Linked DNA regions of Cricetulus griseus. The protein of the gene in region 4 interacts with the protein of the main gene of each other region in a pairwise test. Links are inferred from orthologs where the notes say so. Each region holds a gene or a part of one and is shown on either strand. Other genes may lie near its edges.

Region 1 (4,760 bases), on a different chromosome or scaffold from region 4:
AACACAGAGCCCTATGCATGTCAGGAGAGCAAGTGCCCCACCACTGAGCTATAGTCCCTGTCCTCTCTATTTTTTTTAGAGTACCTTCCTAGCTGACAGGCTAGCCCAGGACTGTTCCTGTAACCCAGGCAGGGCTTGAACCTTGACTCTGCTGCCTCGGCTTCCCAAGTAGATGGCAGTACAATCTGTAGCACCAGGCTCAGTTCTTAATATTTTTATTGACGTATGAGGACCCAACTAAACTTACATAGGCCAACGGATACCACACAAAACTTAGGATCAAATTCCCCAATAAACTCACTAAATGACATATTTCGCTGGCAAACAGTGGGTCCCTTTCCTTTACCAACAAAAATATTAATAGGGTTTTAAAAAAGGGGCTATAGCTGGCCTGAGCATGACAATCATGGTCCTGGCAGGCCCTTTGCCTCTTCCTTGCTAAAAATCATTAGATTACATTCCCAAAGCTGGCCACCAGGGTATGTCTACTCCCTCATTTGGCCAGTGCATCTCCCTGAGGCTATCAAAAGCTGCAATCAAAAGTCCCTTTTTGGCTAACCTAATTAACATAAAAAACCCTCATTCTAATACTGAGTTTCCTCATTTTCCTTTATAAACTGCCACTGGCCTATGGGCCCGGTCTGTTTCCTCTCTGTTCTAGGAGGGACAGTCCTTAGTCTCTTCAGGACAAATATCCCTTCGCAATCTCCCTCGTTCCTCTTCCTTGTCTTCCCCTTTGCCTTTTATTCCCTGCCCTCTGTCCCTCTGGGACAAAGAAATCTCCTTTGTGCTCAGAACTTGTGTCTTGGGGTGTCCTGAGCAGACACCAGTTCAAAGAGAAGGAGGGGAGGGAGGAGAGGAGGAGAGAGAGGGGAGGGGAAGGAGTTAGCCGTCACCTAGGATTTAATAATTCCCCACACTTTCTGATTTACCAATACAAATTCCCACATTGCAGACAGTCACAGACACCAGCTTCGTCAGGCACCCGTCTGGTTTTCCCTTTAGAGGGCAAACTTAAATTGGAGGCACTCTGAAGTCCTAGCTGCCTTCCCGCTGAGTTGAAAGGGGGACAAGCTGGAGAGTTTCGCAGGGTCAGGGGGCAACGGTTAATAACCCCCTTGCTGCTCCCCTGCTGACACCAAGCTGGAGCGAGCCCAGAGCAGCGAGCGTTGGGGCGCACGGGGCGGACCGGAAGCGGCGGCGGGCGAGGGGTCCGCGGGCAAGAGATGCCCTCCGGGCGGGCACGGGGTGGGTGGGGGTGAGGAACTCAGTTCCGCCCAGGGTACCTCTCATCTCGGAAAAGCGCCGCAGCTTCCGCAGGCTCGCTTCGCGCAGAGACGCCATGGTCCCCGCTTCCGGGAGCCCGCGCCACGCCCCCGTCCCCGCCCTCTGCCGCGCGGTTACGTCACCGCGGCCAGCGCCCGTGCGCATGCGCGTCTCTCGGGGTAACGTTCTGCGCTCGCACATGAGCCGCTCTCCCTCGGGGTGCGGGGCTTGGAGGGGCCTGCGCCGTGGGCTTCCGCCTCTCCACGCCTGACAGCCCGCGGCGCGCCCGAGGGGAGCCGCCCGTAGACCACGGTGGAACCATCATCCGGATGCCCAGGTGACCCCGCTCGCCCAGAGCTCGCACAGAGTTCCCCTTCCCGTCACCACGAGGCCGGGCCACACCCTGTCCGGCCCGGGTGGGATGCTGGATGGAGGAGCAGACCACGCTGCCGCCGTCACTCCGCCGACCTCGAAGTCAGGGTCTTGAACCTGTGTCAGCATCAGGGCTCGCAGTTGTGTCCCCTGGCTTCTCAGAGAGATGCCACCACAGGTGTAGATGAGGGCAGGAAGTCAGCCTGGCCGAACATGGTCCCGTTGGCTGATCATATGTCTTTCTCTCCTAGGGATCCTGGTTTGCAAACAGTTCTGCAGAGAGTGGTCTCTCCATTCTTACACATAGCATAGAGAAAATGACATTTAAGGAAGACGTTTCCATCGCAAACCCGGAAATCCTGTCATCCCCTACAACTTGGCTTCAGAAGTCTCTCTGCATGAAAACCTTGCTCAGAATTCTGCAAAGCAATTTCCTATGAACTTAGCTAAGATTCTAAGTAAGCTTAGCTTCTTTTTTTTTAATTTAATAACCTGACCTTAGCATTTAATGCTATGAGGAGGCACCATGACCATGGCAACTCTTATAAAGGAAACACTTAATTGGAGCTGGCTTATAGTTCCGAGATTTAGTCCATAGTCCTCGTGGCAGGAAGGCCAGTGGCACACAAGAACACATGGTGCTGGAGAAGGAGCCCATTCAACCATCTTGATCCACAAGTAGCAGGAAGAGACTGCCCCACAGGGCTGCCTAGAGCTTCTGAGTCCTTAAAGCCCACCCTCAGTAGCACACTCCAAGGCCACACCTCCTAATAGTGCCACTCCCTATGAGCCTATGGGGGCCATTTCTTTCTATCCATTACAGTAAGGCAATTTAAAGATAACATACAGGAGGACTTCATGCCTGCCTTCCCTGTCCATGCTGGGATTTGCTCCATGTGGAGCTTGTGCAGTTGTTGTCACATCTGCTGTGAGTTCACAAGTGCAGCTGTCCTGGTGTACCTAGAGCTTACCCTCTTCAGACTTCCCTTCCACTATAATCGCTGAGCCTTGGGAGGAAATGGTGTAGCATAGATTATCAATAGAGAAAGCCGAGCATTGTACATTTTTAATTCTCTACACATTGACCAGTTGAGACTCTTTGCGGTGAGTCTAGTGATGTATCTCTAGGAGTTAGTTTAATGCTGTGTCTGTTTAGCTGATTATAGGCTCTCAAGCAAAGCCTTATGACCTGTCTGGCACAGGTTCTTGGTGTCAGGTATGGGCTCTCTCTTAAGGAGGGTGACTTACATCCTGAAATTCAAATCAGAAAGCTGTTGAATACCCCCTGCGAAATTCTTTCCTCCATTGCACCGGGAGGTGTATTTTCCAGCTCAGTTATTATAACTTGTAAAAATCCTACCCCTGGCTGAGAAGCTATGGACAATTTGTAGGTGCTGGGAGAGGGATTGTCAATTTTCTTTAAGACTGTGACCTTTAAGAGGTTCACCATGTTCAGTGGATGACCTCACACATAATGAACTTCAACAAAAAAAGGGAGATAAATCTGTTTGAATAAATACACTGCTGAAAGTAAGTTTCAAAAGAAAAGATGGAACAATCAGTATGATAAATAATTTGAAATAACAGCTTTATATACACAGTGATGTAGTTCTATAAAATTACAAACATCTATGTGTATTATTTGTTTACTAATGCAGTGAATCATATAGTCACTTTCAATTGGATAGAGAGAATCTTGATACTGTATGTGGATGGATGCTGTTTGTAAACTCTTGACCGATGGCTAGGGCTTCTTATTGGCTAGCTCTGTCTTAATTATTAACCCATTTCTATAAATCTATGTATTTCCATGTGGTATTGGCGTACTGGAGAATGTTTGGACCTGCTTTTCCTTTGGTGGCTACGTGGCATCCCTGCTTTTTCCAGAATCTCCTAGTCTCCTAGTCCCCCTATCTTCCTGCCCCTATTGGCCAGTGTTTTGTTCATCAACCAATAAGAGAAACATATATACAAAAGGAAATCCCCCATCACCCATATATTTGAATACTTGGTCCCAAGATGGTGGAACTTTTTGGGAAAATTAGGAGATGTGACCTTTTTGGAAGATGTGTGTCACTTGTGACAGGTTTTCATACACCATTCCCAGTGTGCCTTCTCTGTCTCCTTCTTGAAGATCAAGAGGGAAGCCCTCAGCCATACATTTCTCACCATCATGAACTCTAACCCTGAAGATATAAGTCCAGTTAAACACTTACAGGAGTAATAGGCCAACACAAAATGGATTCCATGATTTTTTTGTTGTTTATTTGTTTTGTGTATTCATATGTGCTTTTCTTTGGTGTTTTTTTTTTTGTGTGTGTGTGTGTGTGTGTGTGTGTGTGTGTGTGTGTGTGTGTGTGTTTAAGAGACAAGATGAAGTTAGAGAAGGTGGTTGGGGAAGAGTTGGGGGATGGGAAAGAATATTGTAACGATTAGTCTTTACTCCATCTGCCCAAGCCCAGTTGCCACTACATGGGCACTTTTCCACCAGCCACCCGAGTTCCGCTCAAGTTATGCCCACCATGTTAGGGCCCCAAATAATACACAGAGAATTATATTAGGTACAAATGCTGCTTGGCCAAAGACTAGGATTTCTCATTTGCTAGCTCAGTCTTATTTATCAACCATAATCATAAGACTTATCTTATGGAGGACGCCTCGCACTGGCCTCCTCTTGCCAGGATCACATGGTGGCTCTGTAGAGAAGAGAGCAGAGAGCAGGAGAGGAAGAGCAAGAGGATAGCTTCCTTCTTGTCCCTGCTTATATATGAGTCTGCCTGCTATGTCACTTTCTGCCTGTATCATAAGACTTCTTTTTAATACATTTCCTGGAATCATCCTTGACTCCTAATCCTGCCGAACTTGCTTCTTCATTGGCCAACAGTACTTTATTCAACAACCAATAAGATAAAAATACACAGAAGGACTTGCCCCATCAGAATATGATGAAGGAATACTGTGAGAATGTATTTAAAAATAAAAATTCACATCATCATAATAAAAATAAACACCATTTATTATATGACTCTCACTTCATAACTCTTTGTGGAACAGTTATTGACTCTGAGTGAAAAGTATCCTTATTTCTACTTTGAAACATCATGCTGGTCTGCCATCTACAT
Region 2 (4,855 bases), about 210 Mb from region 4:
CTGGGGACTGGGAATGTAACTCAGTTGGTGGAGCAATTCCCTTAGCATACATAAAGTCTTGGAGTTATATTTAGCGTCTGGGGTTGTGGTGGCACACACCAGGTATCCCTGCACCTGGGAAGTGGAGGTAGGAGGATCAGGGGTTTAAGGCCAGCCTGAGCTAAATAATGCTTTGCCTCAAAACAAAACAAACGAACAAAAAACTCAAACAAAAAACCTACTGAGTATGTGAACATGTAGCTCAGCGACAGAACACTTCCCTAGAATGTTTGAGGCTTTGGGTTCAATCTCTAATACTATTAAAAACGTCATTATCATCAAGCAAACACATAAATCTCCATCTGCAGCAGGGGAAGAAGGATGCTCAGCTCACTCACAGGCATGCTGGTCCTCTGCATCCCGTTTTGTGCTAGAAGGCAAGTCATCCAGCCCTTTCACTCTTTTCTTTTGCTCCCAAACAACCACCTATCCTTTCTTCCTTCCTCAAGGTGCTGGGGTCAAATTCATGTCCTTTTGCATGTCAAGCAAATGCTCCATCACTAAGCTACATGCCTGGTCCTCACCACACTATTTCTGATTATACTGCAGCTTCTAAGAGATCTAGTCTACAAAAAGAAACACACTAAACAGATAACACAGATTGCTGGTTGGCTCTGTGCTCTCCATCCCTTCCATGTGTGCGCTCATGAATGTGGAGGCCAGAGATTAATGGTGAGTATCTTCCTTAATCACGCTCCACTTTATTTATTTTAAGAGTCTTCCTTCAGGGCTCACAAATTTGGCTAGACTAGCTGGTCGACAAGTCTCTGGGATCCTCTTACCTCTGCCTCCCCAGTGCTGGGATTACAGGCAGGCACTCCAGCACATGGCTTTTTCTGTGGGTGCTAGGGATCAAGCTCAGGTCCTTAGTTCATGCAGAAATCACTTTACCAACTGAGCCACGTCCCCTACACCTCTCCTAATTGAAAACTAGAAATTAGTATTCTGGACCTAGCCAGAGATTAAAGGCAAAGTTCTAAGTGCAGGTGGACTTGGGGTTGAGTCCCTTGCTTGCTTGGATGCCTCAAAGTGGTTTTAACATCACTGTACTGTAGTTTTCCTCCTGTGTTGAATTTCTGTCTATAGCCAAATACCTATTTTTGGATGATAACATGTCCTCATAAAGTTGAGAGCTTCATGAGACAATGTATCAAAAGATCATGGCAAAGTTTAGCACAGGGCCAGGTGTGTAAAGCAAATTGTAAATATTACTATTGTTATGAGCCTGTGAGTTTCATTAGCATAAATACCTCTCCCCCATAAACCTTCTGGACTTCAAAGGTGACTGTAACTCCAGGATCCTGACAGCAGCTCTGGCACTCCCAAAGGCACCCTGCCACCGGAGGACCAAAGGGTTTTGTCTAAGGAATGAAAATTGGAGCCATCCTCGAGGGGAATGGGAGGGTGCCCTGCCGCGCCATGCTTTTCTTTTACTTTCCTAGTTCCTCTCCCCACAGCCAGAGTGCAGGAAAGCAGGTGGTGGCTGGCCTTCCTGCAGGGCTGCCCAAGTGTGAGGAGGAATGGGTTTGTTATACTGACTCCAAAGCAGAGCAGAGGTGGGGCTGTATGGCTCCTCCCTGTATTAGGTTTGAATTCTAGCCAATGGGGCCCATGCTTTGCAGTTTGCCTAAACCCAGGCCAGAGCTGTTGAGAGAATGATGGATAATGGGTGTGATCACCCCTACTCTATCTCCTCCTTGGGGCCTAGCTGACTTGTGAGGGAATGGCTGACTTATTCGGATGGCAGTGTGCCACTGCATTTTCTGGTAGGCCTCCTCCCTCAATCCCAACATGCTAACTGTCCCTTCTCTTTGTCCCCAGTTACCAGAAACTGGCCCCAGGCAAGCTGATACCATCTCCCCTCCTCTATATTATTTTCCCCGGCCTGTTCATAGGCTCGGTTTTATCCAACACTCTAGAGTTGGGCTTCCTTGGCCGTCCATTTTCCGTGGGCTGCATGGTCTTTGCCAGAAAACTCCTTTTACTTACCTCCCAATCATAGCCCCTGCCAACCACCAATGTCCATCTGTTCCCACCCAGAAAAGAGCAGATAGGACTGGGTTTACACCCCCACCCCCTCCATCTATCCACAGTCACTATAAAGAAAGAGAATAGGGAGGGGGAGGAGGGGCCAACTGAGGCCCAGAAGGCAAAGGGAGAGGGAGAAAGGAAACAAAAGAGAGGACACAGCTCCTGGGAGAAGAGAGAATGGGTAGAGCAGGTTGGAGGTCTCTGCCTGGCAAGCCTCCTCTCTTTGGTGGACTCACCGACGTGGCAATGGCCATGGCTCTAGACTCCAGCGTCGCCTGCTTCAGACCAGGCTCAGTTTCGCTGACTTCAGCGATGGCTGCCCCTCACCATGGTTCCCGGCCTCCAAGCCAGAAGGTCACCCCAAGCTGTGGCTCTTGAGGAGTTGCCTCCCCCAAAGTTGGAGGAAGAGAAAGAAAACCCACAAAACTTTCCAAATGGGAGGCAGCTTGGCCAGACAGGAGGAGGAGTGGGGCGGGCCTGGGCGTCGCTGCGGGACCTCATCCAAAGGGCGCGCTCTAAACTGTCCCCAGGGTCTCTCGGGGGCCACTAGGCCCCCACGGCTGTGGCCTTAGACTGCAGAGGCCTCCTGGACACACATGGGCCCAAAGCTCACGTCCCCGGCCAGCGAGGCGAGGAGGCAGGAGCTGCTGCTGCTTTCGACGCCTCTCCAGGCAGCTCAGGCTAGCCCCGAGGGCTGGGAGAAGCTGCCCGAGTGGTTGGGCTGGATGAACGACTCCTGGGGCCAACCCTCCCCCAGCGGCGCAGAGCGGTGCTCCCAGGGCTGTGGTCGCGGCAGCCGGGGCACTGCGGCGGGACGACCCGCGGGGAAGGAGGAGGAGGAAAAGCGAGAACTGAACTGCGTGTCTCTAAAGTCGCTCAAGTCAGCCAGCGCAAAGGCAGGCCGGCGCCCAAGGCCTCAGAGCGCGTGGCGCCCAGCCGGGCTCTCCCGGCCACACTCCTTCTCAGCACTGCCGGGTTTCCGAGGTGGCCGTCCGGCACTCTCGGTCTCGGCGCCCGTGGGCGCCCGGTCCTGGCTCACGCTCCCCGAACCCGGCCCCCGGCGCGCCCCCAAAGCTTAGGGAAGCTCCTGGTGTCTTGGGGAACGAAGAAAAAGGCCACAGAGCAAAGGGAGCAGTGAAGGGGAGGAGCAATCCTGTGGGCTCGCCTGGGGCCGGGGTGCGGACACTGAGGGCTGGAAGAGGTCCGGGGTCGCGCGTGGCACCGCTCACCCTTTCCCTCCCCTGCCCGGGCTCCCGCTCCCCCTCAGCAAGCTCTCTCTCTCCTCCCCTCGGGCCCACTCCTCTCGCGAGGGGTTCAGTCCAGGGGATTAAGAGAAGAGGGGGAAGGGGGGAGGGGAAGCTGCGGAGAAAGGGGACGATCCTTTCCGAGGCGGTGTTGAGTTTCAGCTCCCGACCCTCGGGCCACAAACTGCACGCCCCAGCCCGGCCCTCTTCCCCGCACCTTCTTCCTCCGGACCAGCGCGGCCGACCGGCGGGTGGTCTGCACTGCGCGCTCGGGGGAGCTCGGCTCTGCCCGCCACGCCCCCGCTCTCCCCCGCCAGCCCCACGCCTCTCCCTCTCTCCCTTTCATTAGCCCCACATCTGTCTTTCCCGAGGGAGGGAACGCGCTGGCTTCCGCCGCGCCTCCGGGGTCCAGGCGTTTTCACCGCGCTGACTTTGCAGGGGGCGGCGGGAGCGATCCGGGGAGGTCCAGCCGGGCACTGACTTGGAGTCTGGTGTTGAACAAAGATCCTGGCCCTTGAGAGAGGACGTGAATCCTGAGCCCCAGATCGCAGGCTGGCCGGTTGCGCTGCATTTTTAGCCTCGTTTGCCAGTCTGGGCCTGTTTTCTCTTCTTCAGGTTGGCTCTCGCTGCTCCTGGAGCAGTTGGGGTGGAGACCGTGGGCAGAAGAGGGCAGAACTCTTTCAGAGGGCCTGGAATCGGGAGTTTCACTGAACTCGAGCTCTTGGCCTTCTAAACCCCTCCTGCCGGCCTTCCCCCCCAGTCACCGCTCTTCTTCACTGGCCCTTACTTTGAGGAGATACACATTAGAGCTTCTGAGAGGGTTGAGAGAGACCGGTCTTCTTCCACTGGGGGAGGGAGGCGTTCCCGGTATTTGGAAAGCAAGCTGATAACAGGTGGAAAGCTGTAGTGTGTTTCCAGTGTTTACGTTTAGCAAACGAACGCTTAAAGCACACACCAGACAGCGAGCTTAGTCGTAACCTCTTTAGGAGAGAACATCTGAAATCTTATTTAAAGACCTCTGTGAACTAGTGGCTTTGAGACCACTCTTCCTCCATCACATCACAGTGCTCCATAGGCTTACCTACGGGCATTTCCCAGAATCACCTGTGGGGAGAGTGTTTGCTCCACATCCTTCCCCTCCTCACCCCCTGGAACCCTCTGCAGAGTGGAGAAGAGTTGGCTACTTAGAGGATGACTCAGTGAGAGTTTCTGGACGAACCCAGGAAGAATGGTAATGGCTCTGGGCTCCGCTGTAGGGCTGGAGTGCAGACCTCATGCACTGGCTGGAAACCTTGACATACTCAGACTCCATTACAAGAAAAGGAACTTTAGCCTGGCGTTGGTGGCTCACGCCTTTAATCCCAGCATTCGGGAGGCAGAGGCAGGCGGATCTCTGTGAGTTCCAGGGCAGCCTGGTTTCCAGAGCAAGTGCCAGGATAGACTCCAAAGCTACATAGAGAAACTCTGTCTCAAAACCGCCCCCCAAACAAAACAAGACACTTTAAAGTGTCTAAATACATCTGAAGTGAGAGTTCTATCCC
Region 3 (4,947 bases), on a different chromosome or scaffold from region 4:
GGTTTGCTCAGATAATTCAGTATGAATAGCCAGAAACTAAAATCTATGAAATCCCCCTAAATATATCCACTCTCACCCACATCACTTATAAAAATAATAAATAAAACCAAACAACAAACAGAAACTCTCTGGGTGCTACAGTAGCTTAGGAAAAGAAGTTGACTATCACATGAGTTAAATACCTCAGCACACATACTCATACAACATGTCTACCTGAACATTGTTACAAACAGGCAATCTTTTTCTGTAGAGGGCTCTTGCACTTAGCAGGGGCTTAACTGGTGTAGGAGGGGGTACTAAAGAGGTCCTCCCCAGTGATGAGTCTTTGTATTTGGTCTTGCCTCCCACCTACTGAAGGCTCTCTACTTTCTACTTTGCTTGGTCCCAGTTTTATTCTTTATGTTTTCTGACTACCTTTTACCAGCATCCAAATGCTCCCTGCATGCTGCCCCACACCCCACCTCCTTTCTAACTCTCGATCTGGTTTCTCTTTCGGAAACATGTTTCAGTACAAAGCGCTTCCCTTCTGACACCACTGAAGAAAAATATGTGTCCATTGTTGTGAGAGGCCTTATTGTGCCTGGATTACCATACTGACCGTTGGCTAACCCATATTCCTCCCCTCCCCAGTAACAAGATGCTGCGTGAGGTGCCCTAGTGGTTCCACAGATTCTGGGCTGCAGTAAAAATTCCACCTCATACTCTCTGGATTTTCCAAGGGGCAAAATTAATTAATTAATTAAATTAATGGGTGAAACAATTCAGGATTTAACTGTAAAAAGAAAGAAAATAAGGCTCACTCTTTCCCACTCTCTGAAGTACAGGTTTTTTTTTTTTAATGTATGTGCTTTGTTGTTTTAGGGATTAAAAATTACAACATGCTTCTTTCCTTTTCCTCAAATAAATTGAGTTTTAGATGGTATGCAATCAGGCAATTCATTTCATTTTGATTTTTTTCTCCCCCGGGCAACTGGAAAATCCCAAACTAAAACAAGATTCTTATACTATTTCTCCCCTTATGCATCCGTGTGTGTGTGTGTGTGTGTGTGTGTGTGTGTGTGTGTACATAGGTACGTGTATATTTTTGTCCTTTCCTAAAGCCAGCAGGCAGGACTAATGCATGAAAAAGAATATGCAAATGCTTAATTGATTTTTCCCTTAAATCTCTTGTCAGTAAAAGTAATGAATTGGTCTAAAATGATCTTAATAACCTGGACATGTCACTAGAAAATACTCAACCTTTTTCCCCCTCCTGGAATCGCTTATAGTATAAAAAGAGAGAGAGGAAAGAAAAGGAAAAGGCAATCATGGAATGTTAATTTGCCCCCCTTTAAAATATTAAAGATGAATTTCTCTTGTTTGTTTGGAGACCATAGGCTCGGTCCTCTTGTGAATCTCCCCCGCCTTGCCTTCCTTGGAATTCAATTTTCCTCAAATCTCGTTTAAAGTGGCTTTTTAAAAAGTGGCTGCATTTTAATATTGGTTAGACAGAGTGACCTGCATTTCACCTCGGGTGTTTGACTTGTTCCAATAGGTCACTGCCATGGGGTTATTGATGGGGAAACTCCATTGAAATTTGTCTCTTCGCAAATGGCCTTTAGATCTTCCAGCGAGTTCAATAACTAGTTATAATGTGGAAGGGGAAAAATGAAGGCCCTGGGCTAACGAATTTGATGCTTCATTTTTATGCTGGAGAAATTGTTAGTTAGAGCTTGGGTTTCCCCCACCCTCTGTTCATTCCAGCTTTGGTGACCCCCTCTCCCATTCAAAGCTGCTGGATTATATCTCCCATTAAGACTTGTGTTGAGGTATCCCTTTCTCTCTGATGCAAACCTTACTTATGAATATTGTTGTAAACTTACGGATGTTGGAAGCTTGCTTTGTTGGAGGTTTGAAACCTGAACTTTTTTGTTAAGGGAACTTTCAAAGGAGACTAAATATGTCTTGAAAAGATCTAGAGACTAGGCTGGCCATAGTTTAGAGAGGGCTCCGTGACTCCCACAGTTGAGGAAATTGGAAACTCTTTTGAGGCATTGATAGGGTATTTCAAGGTGCTGTGATGTGTTCCTGGCCTCAGAGCTTCCGGCCATATGCGAGATTAGGCACCCAGGACCAAGACAAGAAGACATGCAAAGACTAAGAGGGAATATTTCTTGATGGGCAAGGGAATCCTGTGTCTCCTCTAAGGTCACAGCAGGACTGTGAGGAATTGGTTGGGTAATTGCTCAAAGAACTAGAAAGTTGCTCCTCCAGGAAAGACTAAAGACACCAGGGCTAGAGGACTGGAGAAGGCAGGAGGGACGAAGGGGTGAAGACTATAAGGATTGCTTTTTTTTTTTTTTTTTTTTTTCCCTGGAGGCTCTGGAGTGGAAGAAGGAAGGTCACAGTAAAGATAGGGAAGGCTTGTTTTATTCTTCTCAACCACTGCCAAGTTGGGGAATGCCTGGCACCCCAGAGATCCTCTATGAGAAGGGGTTGCACTGAACAGTTCTGGGGTCCTTGACCCAGCCACAGCAGATCGTTACCATTATTAACCTCAATAATAACCTAATAACCGTGCATCTTCTTTATACAGAACGGAGCTCCTCGGCGCCTTATTCTCTCCTCTATGTGCCTTTCCTTCTCTCACCCTGCTCAAAGAGGCCCAGTTTGCTCAGCCCAAAATCTCCCCTGTAATAAACCCTGTGGCCTCAAGCCTCCTTCCAAGCCTCAGTCTGTCACCGGAGTCATCCTAAAGGTATGCCTTGGATCCTGGGCTGGGGGGAAACAAGGCCAGAGAGGATGCGTAAACTACCTCCCTGCTTCAGCTTAAACACAAAGGAGTTACGTGCCACCCCCGGTTCTCTGTCAAACTTGCCTAGGCATATCCGTGGTACCACTGGGATCAGGGAGCTGCCTCAACTGCTACTTAATCCCATAAAAAAAAAAACAAAAACAGGAAAGCCAGGGAAAGGGCTGTGGCAGTTGCCAGATCGGCCTGGGAGGGGTCTGAGGCTGCTCTTCCTAACCCAGCTGGGACCAGCAGCAAGGAGCTCTGAACTTCCCGCGGCGGTGGGGCGCGCCGGGCCGGCAGGCCAGTCATACCCGCCTGCTCTCCACTTCGGGCCCCCAGCACCTAGACCACAGAACCCTGGCTCCCCGGCCCAAGCCTCATCCCTCCCTGTTTTAATTACGTGATTGATTTTTCTCTAGGGCTGCTTCGGGACGACTCTGTCTCCGAGTGTTTAAATCTTTCGGCTCCCTTTTTGTATTCCCGAGTCCTCCCGAGATGTGCCAGCGGCAGGCGCGTTTCCGGGTCCCTGGGCCCGCCTCGCTTTACACTCCAAGGAAATGGCCAGGCCACACCGTCCTGGGCGCGCCCGCCGAGGCTGCGAAGACGTGATCCTGCCCTCCCGCCTGAGAGTCACTTTGTGCTGCGCGACCCTCCCCATTTGAGCTGTTCCCTGGAGCCTGGCCTGAGAGCCCGGCTCTGGGTTTGTGTTTCTATCTACCCCCAAGAAAGTGTGAAAAAGTCTGAGCTGATCCTGGAGGAAGCAGCATGCGGCTCGGACTCGCAGCCCTTTGCCTAGTGAACACCTGGGCTCAGCGCTGGCGTGCGAACAGCATCCCAGGGAAGCAAATCCGACTACAAACGACTCCAGGCGCCCTTGGGACCGTAGGCCCTGAGGTCCCGGCTGCGGACCCCAACATGCATCAGGCGATGGGGTCCTATTGTTATCCCACAGCCAGAAGGCCACTCTACTTGGCCGCCCCAGAAGCAGGAAGCGTCCTTTCAGGGTGGTTTCAGTCACCCAAGCCCCAGGACCGCGGTCCAGCCTCTTCCACTGCAGGCGCTGCAGGTGAGGCAAGGAAGGGGAAGGGGTAGGGGTGTTAAATTAGAGAGGAGTGCGTTAGGGTCGGGATGGAAGTGGAGGATTAGAGTCAAGAACCCTGCCTCTTCAGAGGAGGAGGCCGACTGACCTCTTGCTCCCTTTTCCCATCCGGAAGGAGAAATTTTCGACCTCCCCAAACTGCTGGGCTTCCGCTCAATCTCTTTATTTACAACTAATAAACACTTCTCTGCTTCCTCTCCCATAGTCATGTACATTCTTTGATGAGTCACTAATAGCAGGAGGTTTTGTTTTTTGTCTTTTTTTTTTTTTTGATGCTATGTAATTTTTCCACAGAGAGGAGGGGGTCAGGACGCCTCTCATGTGGAAGTTCAGCGAATCTCGGGTTGGTCACAATCCTTTTCCTGCCCTCCTGCTCTACGAAGCCGCAGTTCCTCACTTCCCATCCCTTCTGCACAGTAACGTCGCCTGGTAAATAAGAGTCCGTCTGCTTGGCTATTAGGATTCTGGAGACGTTGGCATCTGTAGCAATCATTAGTCAAAGCCGCAGAAGCCAAAGCAGCCGAGGAGTTGGACAGAAAAAATCTTGGAAATGATATACAGGAGCTGAGGAGGCATCAATCCCGCCGATAAGAGCGCGGCTGCCGCGAGCAGGCGGCCAGCTTAATTGGGCCCTGGGCACCAAGAACAACGCGGGAGGGGAGCTTAGGGTTGTACAGTGACCTGGCATCATTTGGGCACCTACAAAAATATTTAGGACTTAAACACATTTCCTCCCAAGTTTAAAAAATTGTGTGTGTGTGTGTGTGTGTGTGTGTGTGTGTGTGTGTGTGTGTGTGCGCGCGCGCGCGTGCGCGCGCGCCTACAAGCCCCTCACCCCTATGAGCAGAGGCACTGCACTGGATTTCTTCTGGGCCACTTCTCGAGTGGTACTGAAATTGGGAAGCTAGAGCTGGGCTCTTAGGTCCCAGCTACAGCCTAGAAGGAGGCTATGGTCCCTATGGAGGGTTTTCACAAGTCGCATAACTAAGCTGGACTAGATTTGGAGCTAATCTTGGTGGTAATCGACAAAATCATTTGTTTTACATTTACTTTACATCACATTCAAGTGATACTG
Region 4 (4,713 bases):
CAGAAACTGTGTGGGATAAAGAGCTGGCTTAGGAAGGACATTAGGTAGCCTAGCAGAGTGGACTAGCCTTGAGATAAGGCAGATAAACTGGAATTCTTTAAGAATATAGTCATCTGGGACAGAGACACATGAAAGACCTTTCATATTTCAGGGGCTTGGGGGGGGATGGCTTAGGGATAAAGCACTTGCCAGGTAAACATGAGGATCAGAGTTTGTGTTCCCAATATCCACGTGAATGCCAGGTGGATATGCAACCCTCAGGAAGTAGAGGCAGGGGATTCCCCCAGCAGTCTGGTTAGTTGCAGTAGCCAAATCAGAGAGCTATAGGTTCAAGTGAGAGTCATCAGGGAGAATACCAGACAAAAGCCATCTTGTCTCCATAAACACTAGCACACACATACATACAGAAAACATCCATCTCACAATGAAAACACCACACCCTTTTTGGGAATACTGTTGTCTGATGCTTGGAAGACAACTACTCACAGACAGAGACGGGCTGGCCAGAAAAGTAAGAATGGGAACGAAAGACCTTACAACAAGATGCTGGACTTCAGACAACAGCAAAAGTGTCACCTGTCTGCAGGAAAACTAGATGGGCTAGGGTTTGAGAAGGAGCTATTGAATTTAGATACAAGATGCCACTGGGGACCTGGGGACTTGCTGTAAAGAGACTCTCTCTCTCTCTCTCTCTCTCTCTCTCTCTCTCTCTCTCTATATATATATATATATATATATATATATATGCATTTGATTGGGGGCTTACTTATAATTTCAGAGACATAGTCCATTATCATTAAGGCAGGGAGCATGTCAGCAAGCAGGCAGGCATGCAGTGGAGAGACACACTGGGCCTGGCCTAGCTTTTGAAACCTCAAAGCCCACCCCCAGTGACACACCGCCACCCACAAGGACACACCTCCTAATCCAAATAGTTCACCAATTGGGGATTAACCATATGAGCCTATGGGAGCCATTCTTCTTCAAACCTCCCTAGGGATTTAATAGTAAGAGAAGCAGTCTGAGGCCACTATTCAAAGAAAAGGCTAAAAAAGCTGGGTCTGTATTGTCCTACCTTATTTAGAGTGAATGGATTTTAAATACGGTTAAACTATTGATTACCGTTCTGCTTTCCTTATTGTAAAGCTAGATATTAGCAGGATGAGGTCTGCACAAAAGAATGAAAGGAGATAGCATCTCCGACTGGAAGGGGATGTCGGATATGCTGATTTTGTACCTAATGCTTTTTGGTCGGGCTATGTGCCAGATACTTTACATGGGAAGCAGGCAAACATCTCACGTGATAAAGTTGAGAAAGGTTGTGAAAGACACGTGTAAGGTGACACAGTTCAGGAAGCCTACAATCGTGCTATGATTACAAAGCCAAGCTTCCTCAGGTTACCCATGGCTGGAAACTTCCTTTAGGGAGGGAGGCAGCTGACTGGCCACTTAGGGTGAATTGTTTCTGCCTTGATAAGGAGGAGCCAAGGGCCAGGGTAGAATCTCATTAACATAAATGCGAGCTACCCAACCAGAAACTGAATTCATTTGAATATTAAGGCTTCCTTTGGAGAACCATGAGAGAAGGAGCTTGGAGAAGAAACATCTGGATTCCGGTGTGTAAGGCGTATGTGTTCCTTCCTCTTGTTCTAGGGTTCTAGCTTTCTAAATTTGCTTACAGGTTAGCCACTACTCAAGGCTGGTTGAGCGAGGGCGCCTTCCCAGCCTTCTCCTGTGCTAAATGAGAAATCCCAGGCTCCATAGAGCTGGCCTGGGCGCCCGGGAGGCAGCGGAGGTCGGGTTTCCTCTCCTCCCCCTAGGAAGTGGTCCCGCCTGAGAGGATGGAGTAAAAAAAGTGTCTGGTTGGGAAAGTAAATAGATGCAAGGCAAATAAATAAAGAAAATGCCCACAAGCAATTACTGGGAGGAAGTGACATTTTTATGTAAGTCACTTTTCTGACGGACACCAGGCCAGCTTGGCCGAGAGTGCCGTGGGAATGCTTTCGGGGAGGGGGGGTGATGGGGTGGTCGCTGTAAGAATCCAAGGCACAGCGGGGGTGCGGAGACCACCCGGTGGGACTAGCGGGCTGGAAGTAGCACTGCATTCTTTCCTCGTTCCCCTGCCCGCCCCCCAACTCCGATCGAGAGCGGGTTGCTGCCTAAAGCCCGCAGGCGGCGCTTTTCCCGGGCCCGGCCGGGACTCCCAGGTGGGTCCCCCGCCCGGCGCGCGCCGAGCTGGGCCGGCCCCTGGGCGGCGTCACGACAGCCGGGGAGGAGCGCGGGCGGGCGGGGAGCGCGCGGAGGCGGGCGCTGCGCGGGAGGGTCGCCGCCGCGGATCGCAGGCCGGGGCGCGCGGCCGAGCGGGCGGCGGCGGCGGCGGCGGGGAGGGCTCGGCAACGGGCAGGGCTCGGGGCTCCCGGCCGGCGGGGTCCGCCCGGGCCGGCAGCGTCCGCCCGGCGGCGGGAGGAGGGAGCGGCGTAGACAAAGAGCGGCATTTGGGCGGGCGCAGCGCGGCCGCCGCCCCGGGACCCGCGCCTCTGCCCTCCGGCCTCGGCGTGCGGTGTATAGAGAGGTAAGGCGACGGGCGGGGGGCTGCAAACTTGGTTGGGTCGGTAGAGTTGGGAGAGAGGGGCCGGCGGGCAGGGGCCGCCCGGGAAGGAGCAGGGAGCGCGTCCCCCCTGCGCGCCCCGCTGGTGCCCTCGGCCCCGCCGCGGCCTGGGCGTCCCCGGGTACCCGCACCTCGGAAACACACCTTTCTGCGAGCCCTCGCCTTCCCCAGCCTTGGGCTGGCGTGGGGGTGGGGCGCCCTCCTCGGGCTGACACCGGGGACCAGGACCGAGAGCCCCCGGGAGCACAAGCAGCCCTGGCCTGCGGGCGGGCGGGCGTGGGACCGAGCCGTGGCCCGGTCGCCGGGCGCGCGTGCCTGGGAAGAATAGCCTGGGATCTAAGGGCCCCGGCGCTAGGAAGCTAGGGGCTGCGATGGCCGGGGAGAACTTACTGTATTTAGAACTATAAGTGATCCGGCACAAAGCTACTGTCACGTCTCATACAAGAGGTCCGTGCCTCGGTGCAGGGCGCTTTTATGCCAGGTTCCAGTCCGTGTGCCCTGCCCCTCATTCCCAAGGCTTAAACCTCCAGAGCCAAAGTTTCTCTCAGCCGCCTTGCCCCTTCGGTTTGTTCAGGGCGATTTAAGCAAGTGGTTTTTGCAAGAATTTGATGTGGGACTTTTAATGCCCCGACGGCACCTCCCTTTTGAGCACTGTTAGCTTGGCATTGTGTGGAGGGGTTTGATTTGCAAAACGCTGTAATTTATACACTGTAACGATTCTCCCGGAAGGTGTGCGCGGGACTCTGGGTGGTGGTTAATGGATAGCAGACGTGACTTACAGTAGTATTGTGAATAGCTTGGGGACACAGCTGGGCGCTAAATAGCGTGGGCCCTGCCACCCTAGCCTGTTCAGGTCGGCAGTTTGTCCCTTATTTACTTTTCCTTATTTTGCTAAGAGGTTTAAAGGCTAATCCTGCCAAGTTTGAGTCTGTGTCTGGGATGAACAGGTCCCAGTTTGGGTTGGAGGTGCCCAGGCCTGCTCCTTGGTTGACCCCAAATGAAACAGCCCATTGGCCAGTGGGCATGGCCTGGAGACTCCTTTGCTGCTCCTCACCCATTGCAGGCTTTTCTGCAGGGGTTTTGAGGAGGAATGAAAATAATTTTGCATGTGTTTCAAGCCTGGGTTTTGGGTATAGTTATCAACAGTGGTTTTCTAGTGTAAAGGTCACCACTTTATCAAAACATCGTGGGCACTCCCCTCCATTCACTTTCCAAGTGTTTATAGATACAGAGATTTAGAAACAGACATTCGTGTTTAATATAGCGAAGGCAGCCAGTGGACACAAGGAGAAAGTGCACTTCAGTTAGTTAAGGTTTTAGACCTTGGGGATTGTTCCTAAATGACCACAAGGGACAGTCCTACCTTAAACTTTCTCACATTCTAGTCGGTTAATGTAGTTTTGATGGAAGAAAGAAAGGTCCCAGTGGTCTGAGGCTAAAATTGAGAACTTTGTGCGGCCGTAAAACTTGGAGTTACAGCCCCACCACCTGCCTTGCTCTCAGCCTCTTAGATGTGCAGCGACTCCTGGGTGGGGAGTTGCTGAATGAGCCCTGGCTGCTTGAGAGTTGATCAGCCCACCTGTGGAGAGACTGGCCCCTTTAAAATGGGCAGAGCAGATACAAGGTGGTTTCCAGCTCCCCGTAGTCCGATTCCAGGCTCTCAGTTTTGCATTCCCTACATGCTCCTTCTTGAGTCTTCTTCCTCCCTGTTCTGTTTGACCCTGTCATAGCCCTGACCTCTGTCATGTACTTTGAGGGACTGAACATTCCCAACAAACAGCGGCTCCCAGGTGTTGGGGAAATGTGCTTTCATCCTTGTTAAATCTCCCGTCATCTTTCTTGCTGGAGCAGACTAGATGACCCCTTGAAAACACCCGGAGACTCACTGATTGCATAGTGACCCTGAGTTCTTTATTTGATCTCTTGAATTAGCTTAATCTGCTCTGGCAAGGCCAGGCTGGGTTGCTCTGTACGGCACACATGGTTCTCTTAACTGACTGGCTTGCAGTGTGCACTGGGGGCTGAAATGGCTTGTGGAAATGATTTTCTGATGTTCAGAATGAAGTTTAATGATGGAAGAATTCCAGATTGCTTGCCGCAAGTGC

What was found.
Region 1: the proteins of Nck2 (region 4) and Lrriq3 interact in binary tests that used the Homo sapiens proteins (3 or more experiments, as listed by UniProt). The two-hybrid records come from large-scale screens. The link is inferred for Cricetulus griseus from reciprocal best matches to the Homo sapiens genes NCK2 and LRRIQ3.
Region 2: the proteins of Nck2 (region 4) and Efs interact in a two-hybrid assay, tested with the Homo sapiens proteins (2 studies listed by BioGRID and IntAct). The two-hybrid records come from large-scale screens. The link is inferred for Cricetulus griseus from reciprocal best matches to the Homo sapiens genes NCK2 and EFS.
Region 3: the proteins of Nck2 (region 4) and Hoxc4 interact in binary tests that used the Homo sapiens proteins (3 or more experiments, as listed by UniProt). The two-hybrid records come from large-scale screens. The link is inferred for Cricetulus griseus from reciprocal best matches to the Homo sapiens genes NCK2 and HOXC4.

What each region holds. Positions count from the first base shown.
Region 1 is NW_023276806.1:4,341,053-4,345,812, reverse strand, and holds the start of Lrriq3 (leucine-rich repeat and IQ domain-containing protein 3), read left to right. Parts: upstream 1-1,467; 5' UTR 1,468-1,603; intron 1,604-1,956; exon of another isoform or gene 1,957-2,096; intron 2,097-4,760. Other genes in the region: Fpgt (fucose-1-phosphate guanylyltransferase), read right to left, coding at 1,287-1,467.
Region 2 is NW_023276807.1:210,120,163-210,125,017, forward strand, and holds the start of Efs (embryonal Fyn-associated substrate), read right to left. Parts: upstream 3,294-4,855; 5' UTR 2,325-3,293; coding exon 2,307-2,324; intron 1,806-2,306; exon of another isoform or gene 1,673-1,805; intron 1-1,672. UniProt on the Homo sapiens protein: Docking protein which plays a central coordinating role for tyrosine-kinase-based signaling related to cell adhesion. May serve as an activator of SRC and a downstream effector. Interacts with the SH3 domain of FYN and with CRK, SRC, and YES.
Region 3 is NC_048595.1:399,400,846-399,405,792, reverse strand, and holds the start of Hoxc4 (homeobox protein Hox-C4), read right to left. Parts: upstream 3,294-4,947; 5' UTR 3,174-3,293; intron 2,738-3,173; exon of another isoform or gene 2,576-2,737; intron 1-2,575. UniProt on the Homo sapiens protein: Sequence-specific transcription factor which is part of a developmental regulatory system that provides cells with specific positional identities on the anterior-posterior axis.
Region 4 is NW_023276807.1:5,069,350-5,074,062, reverse strand, and holds the start of Nck2 (cytoplasmic protein NCK2), read left to right. Parts: upstream 1-1,480; 5' UTR 1,481-1,616; exon of another isoform or gene 1,617-1,627; intron 1,628-2,385; exon of another isoform or gene 2,386-2,572; intron 2,573-4,713. UniProt on the Homo sapiens protein: Adapter protein which associates with tyrosine-phosphorylated growth factor receptors or their cellular substrates. Maintains low levels of EIF2S1 phosphorylation by promoting its dephosphorylation by PP1.